Macaca mulatta: one gene and its partners. The protein of the gene in region 4 interacts with the protein of the main gene of each other region in a biochemical or structural test. Links are inferred from orthologs where the notes say so. Each region holds a gene or a part of one and is shown on either strand. Other genes may lie near its edges. The genes, in order: RHEB, STUB1, PEBP4, RAF1, RASD2, RB1 and PHB1.

Evidence for each region.
Region 1: the proteins of RAF1 (region 4) and RHEB form a complex in vitro, tested with the Homo sapiens proteins (3 studies listed by BioGRID and IntAct). The link is inferred for Macaca mulatta from reciprocal best matches to the Homo sapiens genes RAF1 and RHEB.
Region 2: of the proteins of RAF1 (region 4) and STUB1, one has a biochemical effect on the other in vitro, tested with the Homo sapiens proteins (4 studies listed by BioGRID, with this or other methods). The link is inferred for Macaca mulatta from reciprocal best matches to the Homo sapiens genes RAF1 and STUB1.
Region 3: the proteins of RAF1 (region 4) and PEBP4 form a complex in vitro, tested with the Homo sapiens proteins (2 studies listed by BioGRID). The link is inferred for Macaca mulatta from reciprocal best matches to the Homo sapiens genes RAF1 and PEBP4.
Region 5: the proteins of RAF1 (region 4) and RASD2 form a complex in vitro, tested with the Homo sapiens proteins (2 studies listed by BioGRID). The link is inferred for Macaca mulatta from reciprocal best matches to the Homo sapiens genes RAF1 and RASD2.
Region 6: the proteins of RAF1 (region 4) and RB1 form a complex in vitro, tested with the Homo sapiens proteins (3 studies listed by BioGRID, with this or other methods). The link is inferred for Macaca mulatta from reciprocal best matches to the Homo sapiens genes RAF1 and RB1.
Region 7: the proteins of RAF1 (region 4) and PHB1 form a complex in vitro, tested with the Homo sapiens proteins (2 studies listed by BioGRID). The link is inferred for Macaca mulatta from reciprocal best matches to the Homo sapiens genes RAF1 and PHB1.

Annotation. Positions count from the first base shown.
Region 1 is NC_133408.1:190,896,254-190,900,212, reverse strand, and holds part of RHEB (GTP-binding protein Rheb), read left to right. Parts: intron 1-1,936; coding exon 1,937-1,993; intron 1,994-2,110; coding exon 2,111-2,158; intron 2,159-2,915; coding exon 2,916-2,997; intron 2,998-3,959. UniProt on the Homo sapiens protein: Small GTPase that acts as an allosteric activator of the canonical mTORC1 complex, an evolutionarily conserved central nutrient sensor that stimulates anabolic reactions and macromolecule biosynthesis to promote cellular biomass generation and growth.
Region 2 is NC_133425.1:1,894,863-1,899,471, reverse strand, and holds the start of STUB1 (E3 ubiquitin-protein ligase CHIP), read right to left. Parts: upstream 2,911-4,609; coding exon 2,752-2,910; intron 2,364-2,751; exon of another isoform or gene 2,275-2,363; coding exon 2,076-2,274; intron 1,989-2,075; coding exon 1,823-1,988; intron 1,631-1,822; coding exon 1,543-1,630; intron 1,404-1,542; coding exon 1,347-1,403; intron 1,260-1,346; coding exon 1,143-1,259; coding exon of another isoform or gene 1,062-1,142; coding exon 936-1,061; 3' UTR 629-935; coding exon of another isoform or gene 548-628; intron 473-547; 3' UTR 470-472; coding exon of another isoform or gene 335-469; intron 256-334; coding exon of another isoform or gene 188-255; intron 102-187; 3' UTR 101-101; coding exon of another isoform or gene 1-100. Other genes in the region: uncharacterized protein LOC106994901, read left to right, coding at 2,909-3,275, 3,317-3,441, 3,557-3,754, 4,003-4,137, 4,218-4,378, 4,508-4,604. UniProt on the Homo sapiens protein: E3 ubiquitin-protein ligase which targets misfolded chaperone substrates towards proteasomal degradation.
Region 3 is NC_133413.1:24,591,316-24,595,274, forward strand, and holds part of PEBP4 (phosphatidylethanolamine-binding protein 4), read right to left. Parts: intron 1,185-3,959; exon of another isoform or gene 771-1,184; 5' UTR 715-770; intron 613-714; 5' UTR 607-612; coding exon 476-606; intron 1-475. UniProt on the Homo sapiens protein: Promotes AKT phosphorylation, suggesting a possible role in the PI3K-AKT signaling pathway.
Region 4 is NC_133407.1:151,432,222-151,436,180, forward strand, and holds part of RAF1 (RAF proto-oncogene serine/threonine-protein kinase), read right to left. Parts: intron 1,263-3,959; coding exon 1,150-1,262; intron 1-1,149. UniProt on the Homo sapiens protein: Serine/threonine-protein kinase that acts as a regulatory link between the membrane-associated Ras GTPases and the MAPK/ERK cascade, and this critical regulatory link functions as a switch determining cell fate decisions including proliferation, differentiation, apoptosis, survival and oncogenic transformation.
Region 5 is NC_133415.1:15,988,688-15,992,025, forward strand, and holds the end of RASD2 (GTP-binding protein Rhes), read right to left. Parts: intron 3,116-3,338; coding exon 2,586-3,115; 3' UTR 672-2,585; downstream 1-671. UniProt on the Homo sapiens protein: GTPase signaling protein that binds to and hydrolyzes GTP. Regulates signaling pathways involving G-proteins-coupled receptor and heterotrimeric proteins such as GNB1, GNB2 and GNB3.
Region 6 is NC_133422.1:27,657,371-27,661,329, reverse strand, and holds part of RB1 (retinoblastoma-associated protein), read right to left. Parts: coding exon 3,872-3,959; intron 2,770-3,871; coding exon 2,656-2,769; intron 2,563-2,655; coding exon 2,399-2,562; intron 786-2,398; exon of another isoform or gene 654-785; intron 473-653; coding exon 442-472; intron 1-441. UniProt on the Homo sapiens protein: Tumor suppressor that is a key regulator of the G1/S transition of the cell cycle. The hypophosphorylated form binds transcription regulators of the E2F family, preventing transcription of E2F-responsive genes.
Region 7 is NC_133421.1:60,600,379-60,604,337, reverse strand, and holds part of PHB1 (prohibitin 1), read right to left. Parts: intron 2,425-3,959; coding exon 2,329-2,424; intron 811-2,328; coding exon 598-810; 3' UTR 1-597.

The DNA of each region.
Region 1 (3,959 bases), on a different chromosome or scaffold from region 4:
AAAAGGGACATCCCGTCACCTTTGCCATATTCTGTTCATTAGATGCACGTCGTTATGTCCATGCAGGGAGATGACACACAGTGTGGCCCCTAGGAGAGCATGAGCTCTGGGAGCTGGCTCCAAGCTGCCTGCCACACAGTCCCAGTTCTTTCAGCCGTTTCTCACGTGACAGGGTACTGTATTTTTGCCCAAGTGGCGACACTTTTAAATGTAGGCAAATATAGCATGCGGAGGAAAACGTGGTTCTGTAATGTAACCGCAGGTCCTTAGGACACCCATATCCCATTGTTGACCCACAGCGAGCTTGTAGGGGGGTTAAATTTCATTTTTGTTTTTATCAAAGTGACAGCACATGTGGTTTAAAATAGCACAGTGTGTAATTCATTCAACAAGCTAACTTGCTCCGAAGCTTGTGATGCAACCATGAACAGAGCAGACAAATCCCTGCCCTTGTGGAACTTATTTCTGGTGTGGGAGACAAACAGTAAAACGACACACATGTGAGATAGGATGTCTGTGACCATGCTGCCAAGAAAAATGAAGTACAGAAGGGGTAAGAAATAGACAGGGAATTTGTAATTTAGGATAAACAGAAGAGGTGTAAGAAGTGACATTTGAGACTGGGCACGGTGGCTCACGCCTGTAATCCCACACTTTGGGAGGCCAAGGCAGGCGGATCACGAGGTCAGAAGTTTGAGACCAGCCTGGCCAACATGGTGAAACCCTGTCTCTACTAAAAATACAAAAATTAGCTGGGCGTGGTGGCGGGCACCTGTAGTCCCAGCTGCTCAGGAGGCTGAGGCAGGAGAATTACTTGAATCCAGGAGGCGGAGGTTGCAGTGACCTGAGTTTCGTGCCACTACACTCCAACCTGGGTGACAGAGCAAGACTCCATCTCAAAAAAAAAGAAAAAAAAAGTGACATTTGAGGAAAGACTTGAAGCAAGGGATCCCTAGGGAAGGAACATACCAGGCACACGGGGAGTGACTTCAGAGGCTCTGGCGGTGTTAAAGGAATGTCAGGAGGCCAGTGCAGCTCAGACAAAACAGAAGAGGGGGCAGACGGGAATGGAGGCAGAAGTCAGGGTTTGAGAGTAACTGGGGCCGAGTAGAGATGGCCGCCTATCAGAGGACGTTGGGCGAGACATTGTCCATCTGCTGCAGCCGAGTCCTCTGGTTGCTGTGCTGAGCAGGGGTGGCAGGGAAGGGTTGGGGCTGTAGCTGTGATGCAGGCAGTCTTGGGCCAGGAATTTCACACCTCGGTGGCAGCTGTGGCGGGGAGTGAGAAGCCATCAGATTCTAGGTAGGATTTGAACGTAGAGCCAGAGATGTGCTGGCAAATGTTCGCATGGGTTTTTTGGGGGAGGGTGGGAAATGGTTTGTGGCTGTTTGTCAGCATTCAATGGTATAAATAATCCTACTATGGCAGATTTCGAGTGATCATTGTGACATCTCAGATGCCCTTCCCAGTGAGAGCCACCTTCAACCTAGAGTCATCGGCTTATTGATCTGATTGAAAGCCAAGAGAGATTGGCATCACCCAGAGAATGTATGTACCTAGGAAAGAAAACAGGAACAGGCTGAGTGCACTAGGGCACTCTAGGAAAAGCTGTTCAAGTTGTAATGTAAACAGTTGGTTCTTTGCTGAGTAAGTTGGGTGATTAAAAATTGCATTTATGTGGTTTGTCAGCCCAGTGGTAGGCTTTCCATTTGAATGCCTTACCTGTTTCACTTTGAATATCCTCAGTCAGGGTTACTGAGTGTCAGATGTGTGCACATGTGAATGGATTGCTAGGAAAAAACAAGACTTCTTTGTGTTCAGTTTATGTTAAAATGGTGAGTCCGTGACATTTTGCATTTTCCAGCTGTCAACATAACATACCTTTAAAAACTTCAACATTAAAATGAATGTCTAATTTATACTTTTTGTTTTATAGTTTTGAAGTGATTAAAGTTATCCATGGGAAATTATTGGATATGGTGGGGAAAGTACAGTAAGTAGTACCATTTTATCTGTTTGTTAGAGAAACTTCTTATAATAGTATCTTCTGAGCAGTACAATCTGGCACTGACTATTTTGTTTTGTTTTATTTTGTTTTTCTTTTAAATAGAATACCTATTATGTTGGTTGGGAATAAGAAAGACCTGCATATGGAAAGGTATGTAGCTTTTAAATCATTAGTAATTTCTAAAGTCAAGTCTAAGATGATTTAGTCACTGTAGTGTCATTTTAATTATTGTTCTGATATCAAGAATATTTTTAGCTGTGGCATTTCTTATCTGTTCAGAGATGTTATGGTCGTGTGCAGCAGAAGCAAAAGTGCAATAGAAATCTCACATTCCTCTAGAAAAGAGAGAGCAAACTTTATAGAAAACTACCTTTAGGTTATCTACCACCTTGCATAGAGCAAATTCTAAAAAGACGTAGTGCTCATTGATGCAGCAAGTGGTTTTTGAGTACCAGGGTTTGGGATTACAGTGGGGAGCAAAGGAGGCAGATGTCCCCTGCCCAGGCAGCTTCATGTCAGAGAGTAAGAGACTCTACAGCCTGCACGCAAGAGAATTGAGCTTTCAGGCCCTTTCACAATTTCCCCTGGCCTTGGGTGCTTAAAACCTAGCTGTAAAATAGTCAATTGTTACAGATACGGGAGTACTGGAAAATAGGATCATGTTCTCTGAGCTGGAAGGTTTGCTGGAGCAGGGATAATCCCGTAAGGCAATGTCTATTCTGTTCCCCAGCTCAGGCGTAATTGAAACACTCCTGTGTTACATTCTCGATGCTAATGTTAGGCCAGGGCATGGTTCTGCTTCATGAGAAAGAAATTGACCAAAATGGAGCCTGTTTCAAAATCAATTATAGATATTTTATATAATGAAGAGCAAAGTACTTTAACCAGAATTTTATTTGTCCTTTAGGGTGATCAGTTATGAAGAAGGGAAAGCTTTGGCAGAATCTTGGAATGCAGCTTTTTTGGAATCTTCTGCTAAAGAAAATCAGGTAACAGATTCTATAAACCTCGTTTTGCATTGCGTTCTCATCAGTCACAGGGATGTGTTCCTTGCAGTTGGCATTTGACCTCTGTCTTGATCACTCCTGTGTAACATTTGGCCTTCCAGAACATTTGTAATACCAAGCTTTGTGTTGCTTTAGGAAGATACTACTTAGGTGTTTATAAATTCAGTCAATATTCTACTTACAGTGGAACCTAGGATATTTGTAGGATAAACATAAACTATTAGTAAGGGAAATACTACCTTTTGTAAACATGTATTTTTGTTTTGTATTAATAACTGATACAGAAATAAGTCCATGCAGCAAAAAAAAAAAAAAAAAGAATTATATCATTAGCACTAATTTTTAACTGTACCTACCCCCTGGCTTTTTTTTCTGTTAGATGAAACCGGGTCAGACGTATGTGTTAATTTTTAACATAGAAATGATTAAGAACCATCTTTTAAGCATTTAGTACCAATTTCACCCTGTAGATGTACCTTTAAAGGCATGTTCTGGGAAGTATGTAGATTCTGCTTCAGGAGGCTTCACAATCCTGTATGAACCTTTTTCTTCCATTGCTTTAATTTAGACCCCCGGCACCAAACTTGTCTCCCGCCCCCAGTGCATTTTTCATCTATATGTTCCTCTTTGCTGCCCTTAACTTTCTAAAGACATACATCTGATGGTACCGTCCTCTACTCAAACTGTCAGTGAACTGCCCTTTCTCCGTAGAACCTTCGCCTGGTCCTGAGTGCAGTCAGTGATTTGTTCTTTTCTAGTTTCTTCTCTCACCACATTCTTGTACTTTCAATCACATCAAACTGCTCCATTCCTTAAATACATCATCTCCTGTCCACCCCACTTTCAAAATGTCTCACCTTTCCTCATGCTCCCCTCTGGTTTAAAATAACCCTTCTCTAAGTATCTACTTATATCATGTGGGGTTTTATATTTTGAATGTGTTT
Region 2 (4,609 bases), on a different chromosome or scaffold from region 4:
GACAACAACTTCACCGAGTGGGCCTCTCTCTTTCGGCACTACTCCCCACCCCCATTTGGCCTGCTGGGAACCGCTCCAGCTTACAGCTTTGGAATCGCAGGTGAACGCTGCTCAGGACTGGGGAGGAGTGAGGTTTCTGAGGGTGGGTACAAAATGGCTTGGTCACCAGGTGCTCATAACCCCACAGGAGCTGGCTCGGGGGTGCCCTTCCACTGGCATGGGCCCGGGTACTCGGAGGTGATCTACGGCCGTAAGGTCAGCACAGGGTTGGGGTTGAGCTTTGGGGCTCGGTGACCAAAACAGGCAAGGGTGACGCTGCTGCTCCTGCCCCCAGCGCTGGTTCCTCTACCCACCTGAGAAGACACCAGAGTTCCACCCCAACAAGACCACGCTGGCCTGGCTCCGGGACACATATCCAGCCCTGCCACCGTCTGCACGGCCCCTGGAGTGTACCATCCGGGCTGGTGAGGTCAGTGGCTGGCAGGAGAGGGCCAGGCCAGGCCAGAGGCCCCCAGCTAATCTGTGCTGCACCCCTTTTCTCCACCAGGTGCTGTACTTCCCTGACCGCTGGTGGCATGCCACACTCAACCTTGACACCAGCGTCTTCATCTCCACCTTCCTCGGCTAGCCAAAGCAGCTGGCAGGCATGCCTGCCACACACCAGCACGTCCCATCTCGTGCTCATGGATTTTATTACACAGACAGTGGCGGCAGTGGCTTCAGCCCAGCCCACCCTCACCTGCTTTTCCAGCCCACAAAGGAGGACAATCACGGCCCAGCAAGAGCTATGCTGAGAGGGGGAATAGTCCAGAGCCCAACAGCAGAACTTGAACTTGGAAGGGGCCAGGGTGGCCAGCAACACAAACTATGTACAGGGGTGGAGGGCTTCCGCCCAGGGCTCTCCTGGACCAGGATGCTGGGCAGGGCAAGGCATCTCAGTAGTCCTCCACCCAGCCATTCTCAGAGATGAATGCGTCAATGACTTCCTTCATGGCCAGGTTGGGGATGAGCTGTTCCTGGGTCAGGGGGCTCCGGGTCACGGGGTCAAAATGACCCACGCGCTGCAGTGACAAGAAGGGCAGAGGGCAGTCAGTGGGCCCAGGACCATGCTGCTGGCCCTGCTCCCCCAGCCGCAGCCTCACCTGCAGGTGCTCCTCGATGTCCTTGCGGTCGTAGGTGATGCCACTGGGCGTGATGCACGGCTCCCGCATCAGCTCAAAGCTGATCTTACCACACAGGTAGTCGGGGATGTCACGCTTCTGTGGCACAGGGGCACACGATCAGAGGCTGGGAAGGGGCACTGCTCCAGCACCTGCCACCCACCGCAGCAAGTGACAGACACTCACCTTCCTCTTCTCGTCCACCTGAGAGAAGAGCTCGTCCATGTCTGCCATGTACTTGTCCTGTGAAGAGTTGAGCACTGCACTTGTGCGGGACACCCCACCTCCCTCCTCCATGGGGCACAGACCCAACACAAGGCGGGGATGCTCCCACGCCAGGTGCACACACACAGACCCACATGTGGGAGGGGGGCACCCTCACATGCTTAGCCTCAATGCAGGCCTGCTGGGCCCGGACGTGGCTGTCGTCCTCATCACCCTCGTGGTTCCGCTGGCACTCTTCCAGCTCCCTGGGGGTTGACCAGGAGCCAGTAAGAGATGGACCTGGCCAGATGTCTGACCACACCCCAACCTCAGGGCTAACATTCATGCTTCTTCCCCACGTTTTCTGCTCGCCAGTGAAACCTTCAATAAACGCTCATGTTGGTAGTTGGTGATTCAGAATTATCCCAAGACAGGGCGACCTGGGGTGAGGGTCCCACCTCTCACGCTCCGCGGCAATGAGCCTGGAGAGGTAGGAGTGCAGCTCGCTCTCCTGGTGGATGCGCCGCTCCTCGATGCTATTCCAGCGCTTCTTCTTCGCGATTCGAAGAGCGCTGGGGATGTCGTCCCCGAAGTTCAGCCGCTGCTCCTTGGCCAGGCTGTAAGCTGGGGAACGGGGGCTTCAGGTCACTCTCTGGCCAGTCCACCCGCCTGGCCCCAGGGGCCCCACAACCGGGCAGCTTGTCAGCCAACCTCGCTGCAGATTGGCGATGGCCTCATCATAGCTCTCCATCTCCAGCTGGCACTGCCCCAGGAAGAAGTGCGCCTTCACAGACTGCCCGTCCAGTTCCAGGGCGCGCCGGCAGTCGGCCAGGGCCTGCTCGTGCTGCTGCATCTTCAGGTAGCACAGGGCACGGTTGGTGTAATATACGGCCACCAGCGGGTTCCGGGTCTAGGGACCAAGGCCGGGCCAGCCGCATGAGGGTGTAGGCTCAGCGCGCCCCCTCTGTCCCACGGCCCGTCCCAGCTTCTGCGCTCTGGCTAGAATCAAGAAACTAGGCTTCTCAGTCGTCAAAGCCCCTGGATCCAAGGATCTGCAGACAGTGGAGTACTGGCTGAGCCTATCCGCTTGACTCCACTTGGTTTTGTAAAGTTTTCCAAATCTTTGGAGAGTCCAGGCTTTGGACCTGGGATCCTCAAGGGGCGAGGGCCCCTGCCCTCCCCCCGACCCGGCCGGCCTCCATCCAGCATCCCACCCTCGTTCTCCGACACCCGGCGCTGGGCTCGGGAACCACGGCTGGGCTTTAGGAGCCCAGGACATGCCCCGCAGAGGAACCAGACCCTCGGTGGGGCCAGCCGGGCACGGGCCCGGCCCTCCCCGGCGCCGCCGCCGCCGCCGCCGCCGCCCTTCCCGCGCGAGCGCACTCACGATCGCGCGGCCGTAGCAGGCCGCCGCCTCCGGGTACTTTCGGCCCACGAACAGACGGTTGCCCTGCTCCTTGAGCTCCTGCGCACTCGGGCTCTTCTCGGGGCTTCCGCCGCCAGCGCCCAGCCGCGCGCCGCCCTCCTTCTCCTCCTTGCCCTTCATGGCGCCGCGCGGCACGGCCTGGGCTGCGCTCCCAAGCTCCGCGCCTGGCGGCCCAGCGCCTGCAGCCCGAGCCCCGCAGCCCGAACCCGCGATCCTCTCGGGCCCGGCCCAGCTCCACCGCCGGAACTTCCGGCCGGGGGCGGGACCAGCGGGGACGCACGGGTGGGGGCGAGTGGGGCCGCGCGTGCGCCCAATCAGCCTGGACGGGGACGCTAGGCCCGCGGCGTCGGGGGCTGGGAGGAACACTCCGGTTCCCTCGCTCGGCGCTCTTAAGGGTCGGCGTTCGCGGAGGCCCTGGCCCGCCCTGCTGAGGCCTCTTCGGAACCGGCCTCGGCGGCGACCGCCACACACATTCGACTTTCCCAGTGAGATGCCTTGGTTCGCTGAGGGCGCACTCCCCCAACAGCCTGTCCCGACCACCTGGCGTTCCGCCCCCGCCGCAACGCGCAGAGACCCCTCCCCAAGCAGCGGGCCCCATCCAGAGGCCCTTCCCCCGGCAGCCAGCCCCGCCCCCAGCAGCCCGCCCCATCGGCAGACGCCCCGCCCCCAACAGGCCGCCCCACCCAGAGGCCCCGCCCCCAGCAGCCAGCCCCTACCCAGAAGCCCCGCCCCCGGCAGCCGGCCCCGCCCCTCCGCGTGAACATAGTGGCTTCCCGCGCTGTTGGGTGTAAGGACCCCAGTCGCTGGGCCGCCATTCCGGAGCGCCATCGAGAGGTCCTACGGGCGCGCGCGGACCCCCGAGTGCGGCTGGAAGCCCTGGGCCGTTGGTAGAGTGGAAGGGGATAAAGGGATCGGTGGGCGAGCGCCCCCTGTGGCCGGACCTCCCCTCACCGCCCTTCCCCAGGTATCGGGAGGAGTTGCCAGCGGCCATCAGGGGCAGAGCGGAGAGCATGTGACAGGGAGCTGGAGCGGCTGCTGGCCTGGAAGCTGGCGGCGAGGGGCGGCCCGCCTCGAGGGCGGGGCCTCCGTAGGGCGGGTCTTCACCGGGGCGTGGCATCGGCGGGGCGGGGCCTCCAGAGCGGGTCTTCGTGGGGGCGGGGCCTCCCTGTGGGTCCACCACCCCGGGCACCCTGACCTGGCTTCTCACAGCAGCTGGTGACCACCAATCCCCCTGAGCTGGCTGTGCACTGTTCGACCACCACCTTCTGCCTCCTGCCAGATGTGGGCGCCGCGGTCACCCAGCTGTCTGCCCTCTGCGGTGTGGACCCACCACAGTCACAGCCTCAGGTGAGTTGGGTGGGCACGACTTGGGTACATAAGCGTCCTTGTCTGTGAAGCAGACAGTCTGGGCCCTTGTGTGTCTCTAGGACCAGGAGTCGGAGCCAGAGCTTGTCCTGATGGGGTGTCTGGCTGCTTCTCCTCGCTGCTCACAGCAGTCCTGGTGCCTGGAGCTCGAGATGGAGGCCTTCATGTCAGATGAGGCAGTGGTCACAGTGCCCGGCCTGCCGGCCCCACAGTACACCCTCAGGTACTACCTGCTGTACCTGGGCCAGGTTCAAGAGTGGGCCACAGCTCTGAGCCAAGGTGAACGAACTGTGTGTGGGCAGGCTGGGGTGGCCCGTGCCCCTGGGCCTGAGTCTGTGTGCTCCCCACCTAGTGGAGACAGCACTGTGGACCTGGGCCGTGGGGCAAAGGCTGTGCCCAGACCTGCTGCCCAACCTTGGCCCCAGCCTGGCCACCCACGTGGACACTAGGCCAG
Region 3 (3,959 bases), on a different chromosome or scaffold from region 4:
GGCCCCTGCACAAACACTCCTAGGTCCCATCGTTGAAAAACACCTCTCACACAGGAAGGGTCTAATCACACACCTTCTTTCATTAAAACGCCTCTTGGTCGGGGTTCTGTGGAGAGGGGGCATTCAGGCTATAGGGAGGGATGGTCTCTCTCTCTGGGTCTCTCTCTGAGGGTCTCAGCCTCCTGCCTCCGCCAAGACCCCCCAGGTTTGGAGGGCCCAAGCAGAGCCAACCATATACACAGCCCTCCTGGTCCTGGGAGAGGTGCATTCTGGAAGGCAGGAAGGAGTCTGTTTCTAAGTCCCTTTCTCAGCGCCATCCTCCATCAAGGTGGTCTCCAGACCTGACGTGTGTTCTGTCTTCCCCATAAAATCAGGCTCAGGAGATGGTGCTCCTTGGTTTTGGAAATACCCCTCCCTGCGATCCACCTGCCTGGCAGCCTCTGTGCCTCCCGCCTCCAAGCCTGCCCTGACTTACTGGCACACAAGGGCGTCCTCGTCCAAGAGGGCTTCTTGGGCACACGGATTGTTCTCATCCTCGTCTCCAGTGATCACCATCACGAGACCCAGTAACAGGGCTGCTGTGACCAGCCTCATTGTCCAACCCATGGGCACCTGGAACAGAAGGAGCTTTAGAGCAGCTGGATCCCCTGCAGGGCATTTCCTGCCAAATACCTGTGCCCCCCACCCCAGGGGCCCACTTGGCAGGAGAGAGACCTCTGGTTAAGCACAGGGAGAAAGGCAGGCAACTTTCAGGGCTCCGCGGCTAATCCAGTCCACCACCCGGACACAAGCACTTTGGGAGGACCTGGGCCTCCTCCAAGTTGGACTCAATGTACATTCCTGGCAGAGGCCCCTCCCCCTGGCAGGACACAGCTTTGTTGTCACTCTTGTCCTGGCTGCCAGGGCAGACAGCAGGCTGCAAAGTAGAAGTGCTTATATAAGCTTCTCAGTTCAGCTCCTCGTCCACTCCCTGCTCTTGGCCTGGGGATGGTCAGCTGGCCGAAGGCCAGCCTGCCCCTTGGCTGTAAGGCAAGCCCTGGGAAGCTGGTGACCCCAGGCTCAGGGCTAGGAGTTGGGCTGTGCCCCTCAGACCGGCTCTGCCTCTCCTAGCCCCCATTCTTCCACCTGTCTCCACAGCCTGTGAGCTTCCCCAAGGTGGAGGTGCTTGGACACAGTAACCCTGTGTAGGAGGGACTGCTGCAGGGACTTGGGCTTGGGCAGGCGCACCCTAGCCCAAAGCCAGCTCCAAAGGGCCAGCTGAGGACAGAAGGGTGCGTCTGGCTGCACCTTGCAGCTGTGCTGAACTCAGCACTCTCCCAAAATAATCATCTCTGGAGAAGGAGGTCTGGGGAGCTGCTTGGGGCTCAGAAAGCGGTGGTCTGCCCCAGCGCTGCACCGGGAAGAAGGGGAGCCAGGGACTGTTGCCCGCATTCCCTTAGGGAACAGTCCTGCCACCAGGTGCATGTGGGACTCTGGTTAGAGCCTGAGTGGGCAAGGAGAAGAACAAAGGCGGCTTGCCACAGCCTTTCCAATAGCTCTGCTCTCTGCTCTCTGCTTCTCAGAGGCGGGGGTGGGAGAGACATGCCAGCAACTCAGGACTCCTGGCTTCTGCTCTGAGCTCTCTCTGGATGCTGGGGAGGCCACTGCGTCTCCCTAGAACACACCACTTTTCCTTTTCACAAACAAGTTAAATAATTGCTGTCACTGTGGTGCCTTGCTAAGGAATATGAGATCATTGCTGTAAAGTACACGCAGCTAGATCTTTAGAGAAACTACTTTTAGCATAGTCTGCTTTCTGGTTTAATTCCTGCCTCCAGGATCCCAACCTGTAGCAAAAAGCCCCCCTTTGGGGCTACATATTAAACACATTTCTCTATCATTAAGCTCCCTGAAATACAACCAGGACTCCCCTTGCCCCCAACCAAAAAACGTATTCCCAAGATCTCCCCTACTGGAAAGAGTCGAATAGTAGCCTCCTCACAAGATCATTGTGAGAATGAAATCAACCAGGTTAAGCCCTCAGTAAGGAGCCTGGAACATAGTAAATGCTCAATAATTTATGAATAGTGTAAGTATTCTCTCACAGATCCATCCATTCATTCATTCCTTTGCAACCCACTTCACTTATAGGCATTAAGCACCTCCCATGTGCCTGCCCCATGTTAGGCCCTGGGGTATAGGTTGAGCATGGCCTTGTCTGTATACAGCTCACAGGACAGCCACAGTCAAGGAGATGCTGCCAGAAGGGCTGCCCAAGACCAAGAAACTCATCTTACAAATGGCATCCACTAGAGAAGCCTCAACTTTCCTGGGTGTCAACTCTTTTAGCACAGTGATGGCAGCCTGGAGGCAGGGAGAGCCCACAGTGCAGGTTGCTGCTGTTGAGCCCACTTCCAGTGGCAGTTCTTCCTTACTCCACGTGCCAGGCACTTTTGTCTCCAAATCCTCATGCCAATCCTTGGAAATAGGCACTATTATCACCCCATCTTATGGAGGAGGAGATGGCACAGTGACATTAGCTAAAACCTGGCCTTGGTCACCAAGAAGTGGCAGACCTGGAATTTAAACCCCAGGCTCTGGTTGAACCTGTTGAAACTGGGTTGAGTCCATTGAGTCCATGCTTTTTTTTTTTGAGACAGGGTCTCACTCTCATCGCCCAGGCTGGAGTGCAATGGGGTGATGTCGGCTCCTGCAACTTCCACCTTCTGGGCTTCAAGGGATTCTCCTGCCACAGCCTCTCAAGTGGCTGGGACTACAGGCACACCACGGCTCTGGCTAATTTTTGTATTTTTTTTAGAGACAGGGTCTTGCATTGTTGCCCAGGCTGGTCTTGAACTCCCAGGCTCAAGTGATCCACCTCCGTGCTCCCAAAGTGCTGGGATTACAGGCATGAGCCACCACACCCAGCCCAGAGTCCACGCTCTTAACCACCTGGCTCCACTGAACTCTGTAGCTGCTCCAGTGCCTCTTACTCACTCCCTCTACATTCCCTTTGTTCTTGGGAGAAGGACCCCGGAGTCCTCCACGTGGACCACAATGCCCTGCGAAATCAGGCTTTTCCTGTCTCTCTAGCCGACTTCCTCCTCCTCTCACATGTTACCTCTGGCAGGTTCCTCAAGCTCCTTTCTATCCCAGGGCTGTGATAGGCACCGACCCCACTTCCCACCTTCATTAGGGGGGTAGCTGAAATGCCATTTCCTGAGAGAAACTTGCTTTCACCCCTAGCATCCATCAGATTCCTTTTATAAACAATCAGAGCACCTTACTGCTTTCTTCATTATTCTTATATAGTTGTAATAAATTATTTTGTAGTTATTTGCTTAGTGATAGTTTCTCCCTCAATCACCCAGCCTATAAGCTTCTGGGAGGCAGCACGGAGACTGTCCAGCATTCTGAGCACCTTACATGGAGTATATAGAGGTTTAATAAAATTCTTGTTTAAATGCATAACACACGCCACGTCCGTTTCTGATCATCCTTATTTTCACTTAACAGCTCACAACTCCGTGTAAACATCAGTAGGAAACTAATCACTCAGGTTGGCCCTTAGCCCTGGATGCCTTTTGCTTATTTATCTAACCTTCTGTGGCTTGTTTTTGTGCAGAGAGATCTGGCAGAATGCAGTGGTTCTTGGGATTTTCAAACCCGATCTTTCTCTTGGGGATTTTCAGGACTTTGATTCATATTTGAAACCTAAGATCTGAAAGCTGTGTTCAAGCTTGAGGAGTGACCATTCTCCCTCCCCATCACCATCTGGTTTTGCTTAATTCTCTCACCCTGGAAAGTCCCATTGCTAGATTTCTTGGTGCCCACCCTTGAAGTCCCCCTCTCTTCCTTCAGTTACCTGGGCTGGGACCACCTCCAGACACCACCATTCAAGCCAAACCTGTGGCTTCCAGAGACACATTGGTCCCTCCAGCTACTGGGATCTGTTGAACCACTGCTGCTGAAACTCTCCA
Region 4 (3,959 bases):
TATGGATTGGCTTAGGGACCCAACCTGGGCTACATTCAGCAAAAGTTAACATCTGCTTCAAAGATTTGCACTTCAACAAACGCCTCCTAAATTGAGAATTACACTCACCCCTTTGAGTAGATTCATTCCCTGGGCTATTCTCTCAAACTGGAGAACTCTTTGAAACATGAAAAAATGTAAGCTAAAGATGAATAATGTAATTGACCCTTTCCAAGAAGAGGGTAAAAAAAGAACCCTTTAAAGGTTTCCCTATATTTTGGGGGTGGAGGGAATAGTGGATAATGGATAATTACAGACAGCTCTGCTGCTTTGAGGTATTACTCCTAGCCTTTGAGGGGATGCCTCTATCTTGTCACCACCATTAAGAATAGGATAAACTATGAATCTTCCCTGAAGCAGAAATGCTTCTGCATCTTTAAACAATCTATTAAACAGCAGGGATTAGGACACATTTAACTGAACCAAAAAAAAAAAAATTAGTGAATGAGAAAAGTCAATCTCCCGAGGATAGCATTCTTTATATATATAATAATGCACTTTCTGAGTGCCCAGTCTATATAATGCATTACAGTAAACACAGTAAACACAAAGAAAAATCTTTGCCTCAAAAAACATAGCATCTAACATTACCGTTTCCATCCATGGAAACATTATCAATACCTAACATATGTTTTTTTTTTGTTTGTTTCTTTTTTGTTTTTAATAGATAGGATCTTGCTCCAGCCCAGGCTGGAGTCCAGTGGCACAATCATGACTCATTGCAGCCTCAAGCAATCTTCTCACCTTAACATTTCGAACAGCTAGGATTACAGGGCCGCACCACCATGCCTGGCTAGTTTTTAAAATTTTTTTGTAGAGATGGGCCTTCACTATGTGCCCACGCTGGTCTTGAACTCCTGGCCTCAAGCAACACTCTTGCCTCAGTTTCCCAAAGTGTTAAAATTACAGGTATTGGACTTTTCAAGAGAATGTCCAAGCAATAATTTCAATTTCTTAATACCTATTTTTCTGAATTATCTCTTTATAAAGAAAGGCATAGAAATAAACAATATTCTATAGGAAGCTAGTACAATTTAATACAAACATAGCTATTTGAAGCTAGAAGATCCTTACTAGTCTGAAGAAGTCAATTGACTTTTGAGCTCTTACCCTTTGTGTTCATGGAGAAGTCTGAACACTGCACAGCACTCTGGTTGAAGGCCCCTCACCTTGAGTGCTTTCATAAGGCAGTCATGCAAGCTCATTCCATTTCGTACATTGACCTACAAACAAAGGATCACCTTTAGGACCAACATAGGCTGCAGCACCCCTTGGAAAGGTGGGCACAGAAATAAATGCACCAGTCTATAAAGGTGCAGGCAAATTTATGACAGCATTGCTTGTGATGGCACACGCGCACACACACATATATGAAACAACCTGAATGTACAGCAATAGGTAAGTACTTGAATGAAGTGTGAGACATCTGTATTATGTCACATTATGCAGCTATTATATTACTTATAATGACCTGGATGGAGAGGAGTCCATGATATATTAATTGGGGGAAAATATCCTTCAGAATAATAGAGTAAGATTATTTTAAAGATGAAGAGGCCAGGCACGGTGGCTCACACCTGTAATCTCAGCACTTTGGGAAGCCCAAGGCAGGTGGATCACCTGAGGTCAGGAGTTCGAGACCAGCCTGGCCAACATAGTGACCCCGTCTCTACTAAAAATACAAAAATTAGCCAGGCATGGTGGTGGACACCTGTAATCTCAGCTATTCATGAGGCTGAGGCAGGAGAATTGCTGGAACCCAGGAGGGAGAGGATGCAGTGAGCTGAGATCACGCCATTGCACTCCAGCCTGGATGACAAGAGTGAGACTCTGTCTCAAAAAAAAAAAAAGGTGAAGAAATTTGTATGCTATATGAGTGCGGAAAGATTTATACTTAGCTGTTCACATCAAGAGATAGTGGTTAAGAAAGAGAAAATGACGGCCGGGTGCGGTGGCTCAAGCATGTAATCCCAGTACTTTGGGAGGCCGAGATGGGTGGATCACGAGGTCAGGAGATCCAGACCATCCTGGCTAACATGGTGAAACCCCGTCTCTACTAAAAAATACAAAAAACTAGCCAGGCAAGGTGGCGGGCGCCTGTAGTCCCAGTTACTCAGGAGGCTGAGGCAGGAGAATGGCGTGAACCCGGGAGGCGGAGCTTGCTGTGAGCTGAGATCCGGCCACTGCACTCCAGCTTGGGCGACAGAGCGAGACTCCGTCTCAAAAAAAAAAAAAAAAGACAGAGAAAATGATAAACTTTTCCTTTACATGTCTCTAATTTTGTGTGATTAGATGTATACACATGTATGTTCATTAGATTCATTAAAGAGGAAATAAGCCAATCTGCTCTACAAACAAACATGAGTTTTTATGATCAAAATTTGTACTTCAACTTATTTCAACAAAAATGACTAATCATTCTAACAAAAATTCCATCTCACAAGTACTTAACACTAGTGAAGGCAAAGCAGGAAGTGGAAGATACAGAACTCCAGCCCTGCTGTAGGGACAAACACCAATCTTAGTTTAAATATATGTGCATACCATACCAAGCAGCCTTAGTGGCACATACTTCTCTATATTTCCCTGTACTCAACCCTCAAAAAGCTAGGCAGGTACTCAGAACCCTATTGGGAAGTGTGAGTGCCCAGGACACTCACAATTAATGGCAGCTGTAAAAAAATTTGAACTAAAATTTCAGAGTTTTAATAAAAGTCCTCCATGTGTTAACTTCAAAGCCAAGAGTTAATCAAAAGTAAAGTAACTAGAGTCAGTATGGCCAGCAAGGAGGGCAAAACATACATTTGCAGTGCTTGTTAACTTCTTACAGCAAAGTTCCTCCTCTGAAAGTGTTAACAGCTTACAGCAGCCAGCCAACCCCTTCCCCAGAAGGTGGTGAGTGTATGCATATATTTACCTATGCAAATACATGGGGAGGGGAAAGGAAGCAAAGCAGGGCTCCAAAAGGCCCAAAGTGTTCTTAATCTTGGCTCTTACTCCAGGCACCTCAGTGCCAATCCAGCCAACCTTCTCCAGCTGGTTTACAACAGAAAAAAGTCTTAAGAAACAGGACATAGGTATCTGGGCCCTCCTAGTTACCAGGCTCCAAACCAGGGTATAGTATTTGGATGCAAAGCAGAGAAAACAATCTAGGAAAGAAGGAAATGCATGTGAGCCTAAAGAATTTGAAAAATATCAGACAGGGGCAACGTAAGAAGTTTTTCACAAGGCTTTATTTTGCTATCACCAGGGACTGATGGGGACTTATCTGCCCAGTAATCATTATTTGAGGCCCAAAGATGGACTCCACATTCAGAGTACAGTGTAGAAGAATTTGAACTTGTAACAGATTAGCTCAGAAGGTGATGGGAGTGGGGGAGGAATATTTTCCGGGAGGATCAATCATCTGGGAGAAAGGAAAAGATTTTCCAAATGAAAAAAGTTCCTTTGGAGTTTGTGACAGCCTCCTTAGCTACCGATGGTTTTTCCTCTCTTTCAGAGATGTGGAAGAAAGCAAAGGTCATGAACAACAGGGTAAGGGGAAACCAACTGATTCTTCAAATAGATAGAAGATTGATCATAGGAAACCTCTAAGGAAAAGAAATGGGGATATAGGGGCAGGGGTCACTCAAGACTTCTGGCTCATATGAATGCTTTACCTATTTAAAAATAAATAAAATTAGCATTCTTTAAAAGTTCCTTGTACATACCAAAATAGTTCAGACAAATGATATCCGGGATTTGTGTCAAAACATCGGGAAAGGAGTGGATGAAAACACAGATTAAGCAGGACTGCCATGGTTAGCTAAGTGTTGAAAGTGGGTAAGTTGTACATCAGATTTATTATTCTGTCTACGTGCGGGTGTTGTGTGTGTGTGTGTGTGTATAAAATCTGTATTATATATACTGAGACAGGGTCT
Region 5 (3,338 bases), on a different chromosome or scaffold from region 4:
GCCTCCACTTGCCATCCTCACCTACATCCTGTCTCACTTCACAGGAGGGCTCATGCTGTGAGCCCCGTGTCTACTGGGTTCCGTCCAGAATGCAGTCCAACAAATCCACCACACGCAGGTGGGGGCCGTGTCCTGGCCCCCGGGGTTGAGTCTAAGTGAGGCTGCCCACGCTCGGTATTTGAGGCCAGATAATTCTCAGTGCGGTGGGGGTGGAGGGGCAGCCTGTGCACTGGAGGATACTGAACGGTGTTCCTGGCCTCCACCCACCAGGTGAGAGCAGCAGCCCTAGCCCCAGGCTTGGAAAAGGTTTCCAGAGATTGCCAACTGTGCCCTGGAGGTGAAATTGCTGCTGTACAGGAACCATGAAGAACTAAGACACAGAGAACCTCCTGGAGCTAATGGTCCACAGGGGCCCCTCCTGTGTGGACACAGACACCTCGGTACACAAACCTGGAGGACCCAGGAGGACCAAGCTGAAGGAGAGCATCACCTTCCATCTGGGGGTCTTATCCCCCTCCCCCGACACTTAAACTTGAAGGTGGACTCAGTGCTGACCCTCAGGGCCAGGGCTCTCAGCAGGTGCATTTTGGGCGGGAAAGGCCAGCTTTGATCGGGGAGGGGGCACACCTCCTCTTGGAAACACGAAAAATACACATGGGCAAGGACACGGCTTTGTAACAAACTCACTTTTATTGATAGTGTACACGGAGATCCATGGCAGCGGGGCTGTGCCTGGGAGACAGCAGGCCACACACTGGTGCAGCCAAGGTGCCTGGTCTGCTCAGAGGGCTCAGGCGCGGGGTGGGGAAGAGGACAGAGGCGGGGTTGGAGCTGCTGCGTTCAGCACAGACGCAGGCAGGGGCCAAGGCTGAGATGCAGGTGCAGGTATGCAGAGCTGGGGCTGGAGCATGTGTACATCTGTGTGTACATCTGTGTGTACTTGTATATACATTGGCATGGGGTACACAATATCTACAGGGACCCTCACAGACTGATCTAGGGAGAGGGTTGAGGACAAGATGTCCCAAAGCCCTGAAGGCCCCAGGGGCCAAGCATCAAGAGAGGGGGCACATCGTGGTAGGTACCGAATGCCCAGCACTAGCTTGCTTCTGCCACCCACAGACTTGCTGTGTGACCTGGGGGAAGTTACTAACCCTCTCTGGACCTCAGAAAGACCCATTATATGATCACTAAGGTTCCTTAGGGCCCGAAAACTTCCATATGTTTAGAGAGATTAAAATACAAAATATACTTGTTAAGAGCTGATGACAAGGGCCTTTGGTTTATGGGTTCAAACCCACCATGCCTGAGTACATGGTTGGACCCAGCATAGCCCAATCCCGGGCACAAGGAGAAGACCTGCCCTGAGCTTTTCTGTTGGACCCCTCCCAGGCTCAGTTCTGGGTCCCAGCTGCTCCTCCCTGCCTCCCCACCGCTGTGTGTGCAGAAGGTGGTGGGGCAGCAGGGGCCAGGGCTGGGGACCCTCTTGGTTTCCTAGGACACAGTGAACCCAGCACCCAGTAGGTGCTTAATAAATGCTTGAGGAATGAGTACAGTAGAGGACAGCCTGGTTCTAGGTGGAGCTGTACCCTGAACTTGCTAGGGGACAGGGTTGTGGCTTGGGGCTCATCATGTCCCCTCCGAGTCTCAGTGGTATCCTCTGTGAAATGGGAGCATTAAAAAAAGCAGCCCTGGCCTGTCCACCCCACGCTTGTGCAATTGTCTGTAAACCGTGGAGTTCAATGGCGGAGGTCAATGTCTAGGTGCAGACAGGCCATGGAAACCCTGTTTGGGAATAGAGGAGGAAGGCATCCCCAGAGGAGGCCGTGGATCTGAACTGGGTGAGGGCCTGGCCAAGAAGGGAGTCACTAGGCTTTTACAGTACAATGATTTCCATTTCTACTGCTATACATGACATGAAAACAGCTGCAACCACAACAAAGCACAACTGTCGGGCGGAGGGACCTGGGAGAGGAGGCTGAGGAACGTGGTCTAGGGGTGAGCGTGGTCTAGGAGGCGTGGCCACGCCCCCTTCAAACACACAGACGCCACTGGCTCAATGTCAGGGGCAGCTGGGGGCTAACTTGTGTGTGTGCTGGGGGTGGGAGGGGGTGCAGAGGCAGCTAACCCAGAGGGTAGGAGTTGCAGGGCTGGGAGAGAAGTTCTCCCAGCCGCCACCCAAACCAAGCTGGGTGTTATGCCAGGAGAGAGGAGACCTTTCTCATCTGGCCTTCCGTGTCCTTTGCATCCTGAGACTTGTCCCAGGAGGCTCCATATGACGCAGCAATCCTCACCCCTCTGGGATCAACATTCCTTCCAACCCCAGGAGAGGAAGGTGTGAGGCTGCAGAGATGTGTCCTCCCACAGAGGAGCTGAAACCACCAAGGAGCTGTGGACAAGGGGACTCAGGAAAGCTGTGAGAAGGCAGACGGATGTGCGGAGGCCAGCGCCCGGGGGCCTCCAGTCTGTGCCTAAGGTCTGTGAACAAGACTGCTGCGGGGGCTTCGGTGGGGGGATGCGCACAGCGGGCATCTGGGGCCACCTCCCTGAAGGCACTGGCCAAGCCCCGCCCCAGCATCCCTCGCTCACTGGATGGTGCACTTGTCCCTCTCGCGGGCCTGGCCTTCTCGAAGGACCTTGGCCTTGATGTACTTGAGGTCACTGTTGACGCTGGGGCGGCGGGCGAAGGGCGAGACCATGCCATAGGCGTCCATCTCCTTGACGCGGCGCATGCAGAAGGGCCTGGGGTGGAAGGCGTCACCGTACTGCACGGAGATCTTGCGATGCAGGGCGGGGCTCATCTCGTGCGGCAGCTTGGCCATGCTGAAGAGCACGTAGAACATCTCGTCCACATTGGTGTTCTTCTTGGCCGACACCTCAAAGTAGGCGCAGTTCTCGTCGCCGGACACCAGCAGCTCGGCCTCGGTGGTGGGCACCTGGCGGCAAAGCTCGCCGTGGTCGTTCTTGTTGCCACAGATGACCATGGGCAGCTCTGCCGCCTCCTTGGTCTTGTTCTTCAGGCAGGACTTGACCTCTAGGATCTGCTTCTGGAGGCGCTTGACCTCATCGAAGGACTCCCGGTTATCCAGGCTGAACACCAGGATGAAGACATCCCCTGCAGGGAGAGAGCCCAGGCAGTGAGTTCACCGGCCAGCTGTGACGCCTGCCCTCCTCTGGCCACAGAACACCAGTCCTAACAGCTGGGAGTCACAGGTGCCCTGAAGCAGTTATGCGGCGTAACTGACTTAACCTACGCAGCGAGTCTTTGGGGTAGCTGCGATTATTCTCCCCGTTTTCCAGGGCAGGAAACTGAGGCTGAGGGGGTTGAAGCCTCTGTT
Region 6 (3,959 bases), on a different chromosome or scaffold from region 4:
GTGGGACTGAGCCTTGAACCTGTGGAGTCTGATGCTGACTCTGAGTAATTAGTGTCAGAATCGAATTGAATTGTAGAACACCAGAGAGTTGAAGATTTGTGTGAGAAAAAAATCTTACACATTTGGTGACAGAAGTGTTATGAGCAAAAACAGCTCACGTATATATGTATGTATATACACAAATGTATATATGTATTATATAACCTCAAATGAATATTTAGAAAAGTTTTGAAGTTCACCAATTAGGAGTATGATTTGAGATTAGGAGTATTTTATATATATATATATATATATATATATATAAAAAAAATAAATTTCTATGCAATATGCCTGGATGAGGTGTTTGAATAATTACATTTAGAAACTCGAATTATTGAAAGCTTTAATTTCTTTTATACTTACAATGCATACTATTATATTTCATAGAAAGAAAATACTCACCCCAAATGATTCACCAATTGATACTAAGATTCTGTCAAGTTAAGATGAAATGCCAATTAGTAATAAAAAATCATATACAATTTTGCAGAGACGAGCATAGATACATCATTCTGAACTATTAGGAATACTAAATTAAAGGTTACCTCTACCCTAGAACTACTGACAAACTATATTCATTTGGGAATTATTGTAACAGTGCCCATTTAATCATATACTCACCTAGTCTCTTAGTTTTACAGCAAAAGTTATAAGTCTGCAAGAACATATTCTGCTATTGCCCATATTTAGGGAGGGCAAAGGAAAGTTTCAAGTTTACCCCTACTGAGTTCTTCGTAAATCAATGGGTAAGTTATCAAATTTCTTTCATATTTTCTCATTTAAAATTCAAGTAATATTTGGAAAAAACTTACAATATTAAGTAATAATCAGAATTCTAATTAGCCTCTATATTGATATAGTAAAGGCTATCATATATCATATATGGAGTCAGAAATCTTTATTAGTCTGTCTTTATTTGAACCATATAATTTATGTTCTTGATAATAAATCTGAAGAACATCATTAGACTGACATGACTCAACAAAGATTTGAAAACATGAACACGGAACTAGTGAATATAGAGAATTTTTTGTCCTCTAATTCCTTGATAAGTGGCCATCATTCTACATATAATATTTGATTAACCAGAACACCTAAATGTACCAGGTAGTGTTAAGATGCTCTCCTAATGCCTGGTCAATGATTTATTAGTTAGGATGTTCAGAATGTGACTTTCTTGCTAAAGAATACCAACACAGAATTTATTTCACTAAGGATCAGCAAGTAGCCATCATTATCACCATAATATGGACTAATTATCACTATTAAAGAAAACTACCTAAGTATACATTTTCATATAGTGGCATGGAACAATGTAAATTTTCTTAAATAGACATGACGTGGCATCTTAGCAGCTTAGAACAAGTAGTAGGTATCAGTACACAGATATCCAACTACAAGAACACCAAATAAATAAAGGATGATACAGAGGCACATGAGAGCATTTGTATCATATTGCCAATTATTTCTCACTTCATATTTTTCTGTAGAGTTTGAAATTTTTATAATGAGTACGTACTACTTAAATAATTAAATATACCATGCAAATGTTTTCTGAAAGGCCAACATATTCCCCTTTTCTTGCCCATTAGGTACAACCATATGGGCTGATAATTTCTGAGATGAGACTACATTAACTATACTAGCTAATCTGCCTCCTACTTTACACAAATAAAGTCAGTTTCAAATAGCCCGTGATAACATATAATTAGTCAATTGAAGCACTTCAAAGCCAGAGAGCACTTGTGGTTGGATGTGGAAGATAATATAATGATTTGTAGTTGCACACAACCTTTCATCTGAGCATTTAAAACAGCTTCATACTCATCATTTCCCTGATCCACAGCACCCTTGTGAAGTACAGATAGAGACCTGCCCAAGGTAAAGTGGTAAAGTGGCCGCCAGCAGGATTAGGGATGGACCTCTAAAGACTTAATTGACAGTAATCTACATTTAATATAACAAGCAAAATGAACAAAATCCACAGGAAGCAAAATTTACAGGACATCCAATAAACTACAAACTAAAAGTACTCAACCTAAAGTAACCTGCTTTGTTTAGCAGATTGGCTACTTAGAAAAATATGAAAGTGTTTTGAAACATATAACCAAACTGGTTCTCAAATTGTTTACAAAAGAAGATACCCTAACAGTCAGGAAATCTGATAAGTAAATGTGTAAACTCATCCAAGTAAATAGATTTTCTTTCTCTCCATATTCTTATTATGTTACTTAAATAAGCAAATAGAGTTTCAAGAGTCTAGCTTATTTGAAATGAAGAAAGCTTTATATTTTTTATTCTTGGATCAAAATAATCGCCCTCTCATTCTTTACTACTTCCATAAAGAGAAAACACACACCTTGATCTTGGAGTCATTTTCGTTGGTGTTGGCAGACCTTCTGAAATTTTATATGGACTCTTCAGGGGTGAAATATAGATGTTCCCTCCAGGAATCCGTAAGGGCGAACTAGGAAACTTGTAAGGACTTCGAGGAATGTGAGGTATTGGTGACAAGGTAGGGGGCTAGAGCAAAAACAGAAAAGTAGACCATTTATTTAATGTTTTGGTGGACCCATTACATTAGATTTTTCCAGTCAAAGGATACTTTCGACCTACCCTGGTGGAAGCATACTGCAAAATATTTGTTTTCAGTCTCTGCATGAAGACCGAGTTATAGAATACTATAATAGAATCATACTCCTCTTCTTTGATCAAAACACGTTTGAATGTCTGAGAAAGAACAGTAGAAAAAAAAAAAAGTAAAATTTACTTGTTAAATGAATTTTAAAATTTCTACCTTTAGATTTTCTTTTCTAATAGTTTATAATACTTTTTGACTGATAAGAAGCACATATTATAAAAGAAAAAAATAATCTAAAATTACTTCTTAGGCTTGGATTATAGCTGCTCTCCGAGAAGTGAAATGTCACAGAATGATTGAGAGAAATAGCCAGGCAGCAGCAGATGGAATAGCTGGCCATCTAAGAAGACAGGAGTAGACAGGCTAGTAGAATGGAAAGCATGATCAAAGGGAATCAAAGGGCCAGAGCTGAGCGAAAGCCAATAACATTATGTATCAATATTTGGACTACATTCTCTGGCCTGTACCTCCTGGTATTCCCCCCAATCTATAAGGGTTTAAGTATGCATTACTCAATTGCAAGAAGTAGACATTTAGTAAAGGCACTATATTTTAGTGATAGATTTCACTCAAATTTTAGGTAAAAACACAGAGGTTATATCAGATGCCTCTGATATATACAATTAAAATGATTGAATTTAGAAAATAACTTCAAACATACAAACAAAAATGACTTGGTTTGTATTACTTTTGAAAACTCCAATAATAAATGGGAAAAATATCCCACAACTCACTTTCCACAAAACAATATGAAATATGTCATACCAAGTATATTTTACTACTACTATTTCTCTAAAGGGAAGGTAAACCAGAAACACAAAATGTGTTTATACTGAACATTTTTATTATTTATTTGCAAGGCTGCATTTATATTGGCTTTTCCTATAAACTAATACAAATAACTTCAAAGAATATCTAATGTTCTATGACTCATGTCAAGTTTATTACAAATACCTGCCTATTACAGGGATAAAGTATTACTTGTTAACTTTATTAAAAAATATGGATATGGATAATTTCATTATTTGCCTTATCTTTCCAATTCTATTTAAGTTACAAATAAATAATATAACAATTTTCATTTGTGAATTTACAAAATAAGGTCAGAATATATGATCTCATTAATGAATAAAATTACCTATGTTATGGATACGGATTTATCAAAAAAACTTACTATGGAAAATTACCTACCTCCTGAACAGCATGAGGAAGATCCTTGTATGCTGTTACGATGATTTTGAATTTAAGGTCTATATTCTTCACTTTGCATATGCCATAC
Region 7 (3,959 bases), on a different chromosome or scaffold from region 4:
CTTCAATCTGTGCCCAGTTCACACACACCTGTTTCCGCTGGTCGCACAGTTAAAGAGAATCAGCCTTATGGTAACAGACAGAGCACTTCCTCTCTGCCCCTCCCCGGCACCTCTCTCCAGCGGCATCTGCGCAGGAACCGCTGGGAAGACGGAGGCCTGCCGCCTTCTCAGTTCAGCCACATGTGCCCTCATCCGCAAATCTTCCATCAGCAACAGGACAGAGGCCACACGTGGACCCAGGCAGACACCTGTGCTCCCCAGTCCATCACACACTGCCCCGCCTGTGTGCTGCCAAATGCTGGTGCCCAGGCCGGAGCTCCAGCAGGCCCCGAATTGGGACCTAAAGCTGGTTTGCATAGGCACTTGGCAATTTTTGGTAGGGAGGTGGATAAAAAAGTAGATGGATGTGAGAAGAATGAAAGTTTCATTTGATAGACTAATTAGAGATCTGAAGTGATTTTACCTTTATTTCCTTCACTTTAAGCCAATCATGAAATTTCACAGTGATTTCTGGGGTGGGGATAGAAGGAAGGCGGTGTTAAGAATCATCGGGGCTGTGGCCCAGTCAGCCCGCGGAGGTGCAGGCAGGGTGGGCCCTCACTGGGGCAGCTGGAGGAGCACAGACTGCCCCGCTGGCAGGTAGGTGATGTTCCGAGAACGTGAGAGCTGGTATGCGATGTCCTCCGCGGCTTCCAGCTTGCGCAGCTCGATCAGGCCATCCCCTGCAGTGGCCAGTGAGTTGGCAATCAGCTCAGCCGCCTTGGAGTCACCCTCAGCAGAGATGATGGCTGCCTTTTTTTGCTGCTCAGCCTAAAAGAATGGAGGTGGAGACAGACTAAGACCAAACCTCAGGGCACCGCATGTCAGGCTACAACCAAAGGCCCTTCACCAGAAAGCCACCTTCCCAGGCTCCTGTAGGAACTTGGGGAGTTTACCTCCTCCTGATGGTGGGGGGAGGCAGAGCACACAGCCCACCAGTCCTCCCCTTCCCTTTCATGCTCACTCGTCACGGGAGAGATACATTTCTGTTGGTTGCATGAATATTTGTCTTATTTCAAAGTCCTCATTAATATTAATTGCAATCTAGCTTAACAACTCTACTCTGAGCCAGGAGGATCCAAGGCCAAGGAAAACAGAAGCAAAAGAAAAATGGAATCAACCCTCAAGGCTCATCTTTCCTTCCAGCCCCAAGTCTAAAGGACTTCATCAAAGCCAGGACAGGGCCAGGTGTGGTGGCTCATGCCTGTAATCCTGGCACTTTGGGAGGCGGAGGCAGGAGGATCACTTGAGCCAGGAGGTCAAGGCTGCAGTGAGCTATGATCATGCCATTGCATTCCAGCCTGGGCCACAGAGGGAGCCGCTGTCACGAACAAAAAACCTCAGGATGGCTAAGGAAGAGCAGCATGCACTTGTGACTGTTCCTAGAGCTGCCTGTGGGCTAGGCTGATTCCTGACCAGAATCCAGGCACCCACAGTGAGACCTCCTAGGCCTGCCCTACCAATATTAAGAGGAAGACAGTTCTCTGAAATGTGTGACCTTCAGGAGTGTGAGGAAGAGGACAGTATTAAGCCTCCCTGAAATTACATACAATTTTGAAATGGCTGGGCCCTGCGTCTATTTGCTTAACAAACATTTACTGTATACCTACTATCGCCAGGCACTATACTAGACTTGTTATAATCTCTGAAGTTATGGAAGATACAAAGCAACGCAAGTCCCTGCCCACACAGTGTTTTCATTCTCCAAAATTAAATCTATTCCTCTTTTCCCATTTTATTTCTTGCTGCCCCCATCTCCCCACCAATTAGGGATACTGGTGGTGGGAAGAGGGGGACAACAATAAACATGTCTTTGCAAATACCAGAAAGAACAGGCTGCTACGCAAATACACTGCGTCCCATCGCATTCTTTGACACATCTGGATGGATTTAGCACTAGAAAAAAATCCAGTGACGAAAGCACATCTGGTGCAACGTTTGATCTTTTTTGCTGTCAGCTTTCACTATGTAAGTATGGTTAAAAATGACTTCTCAGTGAAGCTGAAAATACTCCAGGAGAAACATTTTCATTTGTAAGAGAGTGTTTTTGATCTCAGAGAAGTGGAAGAAAAATTACCCTTCGGTGATTTTGGAACATAACTCCACATATCCTTGACTAGCCCCCGAAGACTCTGGAACCAATTGCAGAAGTACAATTCCTTCAAGCCCCTTCCGATTATCCCGGAAGAAGGGATGACAGATGATGAATTTCCAGGCCACCCAGCAAATGGGGAAGCTAAGTGCAGGAGAAAGGGGAGAGAGGCTCCTGCCATCTGGTTGAATGCTCACCTTTTCCACCACAAATCTGGCCCTCTCTGCTTCCTGCTGAGCCACCTGTTTGGCTTCCACCGCTTCTGTGAACTCCTTCCCGAAGGTCAGATGTGTCTAAGGGGAGAGAGTGAGCACAAGATGAGGCAGTGTGATTGCTTAGACAGCACTGCTGGGACGCCTCCACGGCCGCTGGAAGGAAGAGGCCAGCAATGGCTCTAGCAGCTGGAGGCATCTGTGAGGCCAGAACACTCTTCCATCTCTGTATCTGTATCCAAACTGAGTTTACACCCAGCATCTCTGGCTGCCCAACTGCTCCTGTACACTACTCTGTCACTCTCAGTGCAGCGAGTGACCTCATGTAGCAAATGGCGCCTGGGGCTTTTGATGGGGCCCATGGGCACCAGAAGGTATCTATTCAATCGACCACCTCCCCAGAGGAGAACTGTGGGTTCTAAGACCCCCGCCACTGACTAGTGCTCTTCCAAGCGCCTTTGATGCCTTGTTCAAAGCCCAAGGAAGGCCAGATGCAAAACGGGGCCCCTGAGAGTGAGGGAGGCTGCTGGTTCCCAAGGATCCAAGAGCCTGATGCTCTCTGCTTATGGATTAACCAGTCCACTTCTTCCCACAGCAGCTCCACCACTGAACAGGAAGAGGACGAGGGGTGGTAGAACGCAAATCATGCTATTCCCAATGTGAATGGTTCTGTTAAAGGGTTTAAAAGAAAGAGAAAGCAGGTAAAGTCATTGGTCGGGCTGAGGGTTTAGAAGTCTGATGATCCATAGACCTTCCCTAATCATGTCAGGTCTGACGTGACTGTTCCTAACCATAGCACAAACAATGGGAAGGGACCTCAGCATTCCTAATGCCCAGCCTAGAGCAATTTACTTATTCATCCTACTTTTTACTGAAAAAGAATCAAGAGGAGAGCATTGGTTTTGCCATCAGATTCTAGTTGTTTCACTTCCTCCGCTCTCCCAGCCTCTGCTTTTAAAAAAGCAGCCCCGAACTGCTCCTGACGAGTAAATCCTGGTCTCATTCTCTCCCAGAATGTTTAAGCTCCGAACTCTAACTGCAGCTGTCGTACTTCGCCTGATCCATTTCTAGTCTCTCAGTCAAAGTTTGGGTAAGAAAATCTGATCCTGAGAAATGAAAAATGAAATGTATAATTAAGGAATAAAATTTATTTCTAAAAGGGCCAGCTGAGGGCAGCGAATTCCCCATGAAACCTAATTTTCTTCTCACACCTCTTAGACAGGGTTTCCTGTGGTCAGCCCACATTTCCCCAGAATGGAGTATGTGGTTAAAGTCTAGTAAAATGCCAACTTTTCCCTTAGGTTTTTACGCAGCGTTTTCTCACAGCCAAGGTGTTCAGGTTCACGGTAATTACCAGGGGAGGGCCTGCAGAACGGCTGCAGCCTGGCCTCTTGCCAGCAGAGGGAGCCCCAAGCCCCCGGGGGTTCCAGCAGGCGGAGCAAGGTGGAGCAGTGCCCCGGGGTTAACACTGGCTGTTGTCCAGTGGCTGTTTAAACAGCTGCACAGATGCTGGGGGAAGCGGTGCCTTTCCCTAGCGATGCACGGGAGAACTGAACAGGAAGCACTTTACCTCACTGCCCGAACAAATCACTCCAAATGATTTTTCCCAGAGAATC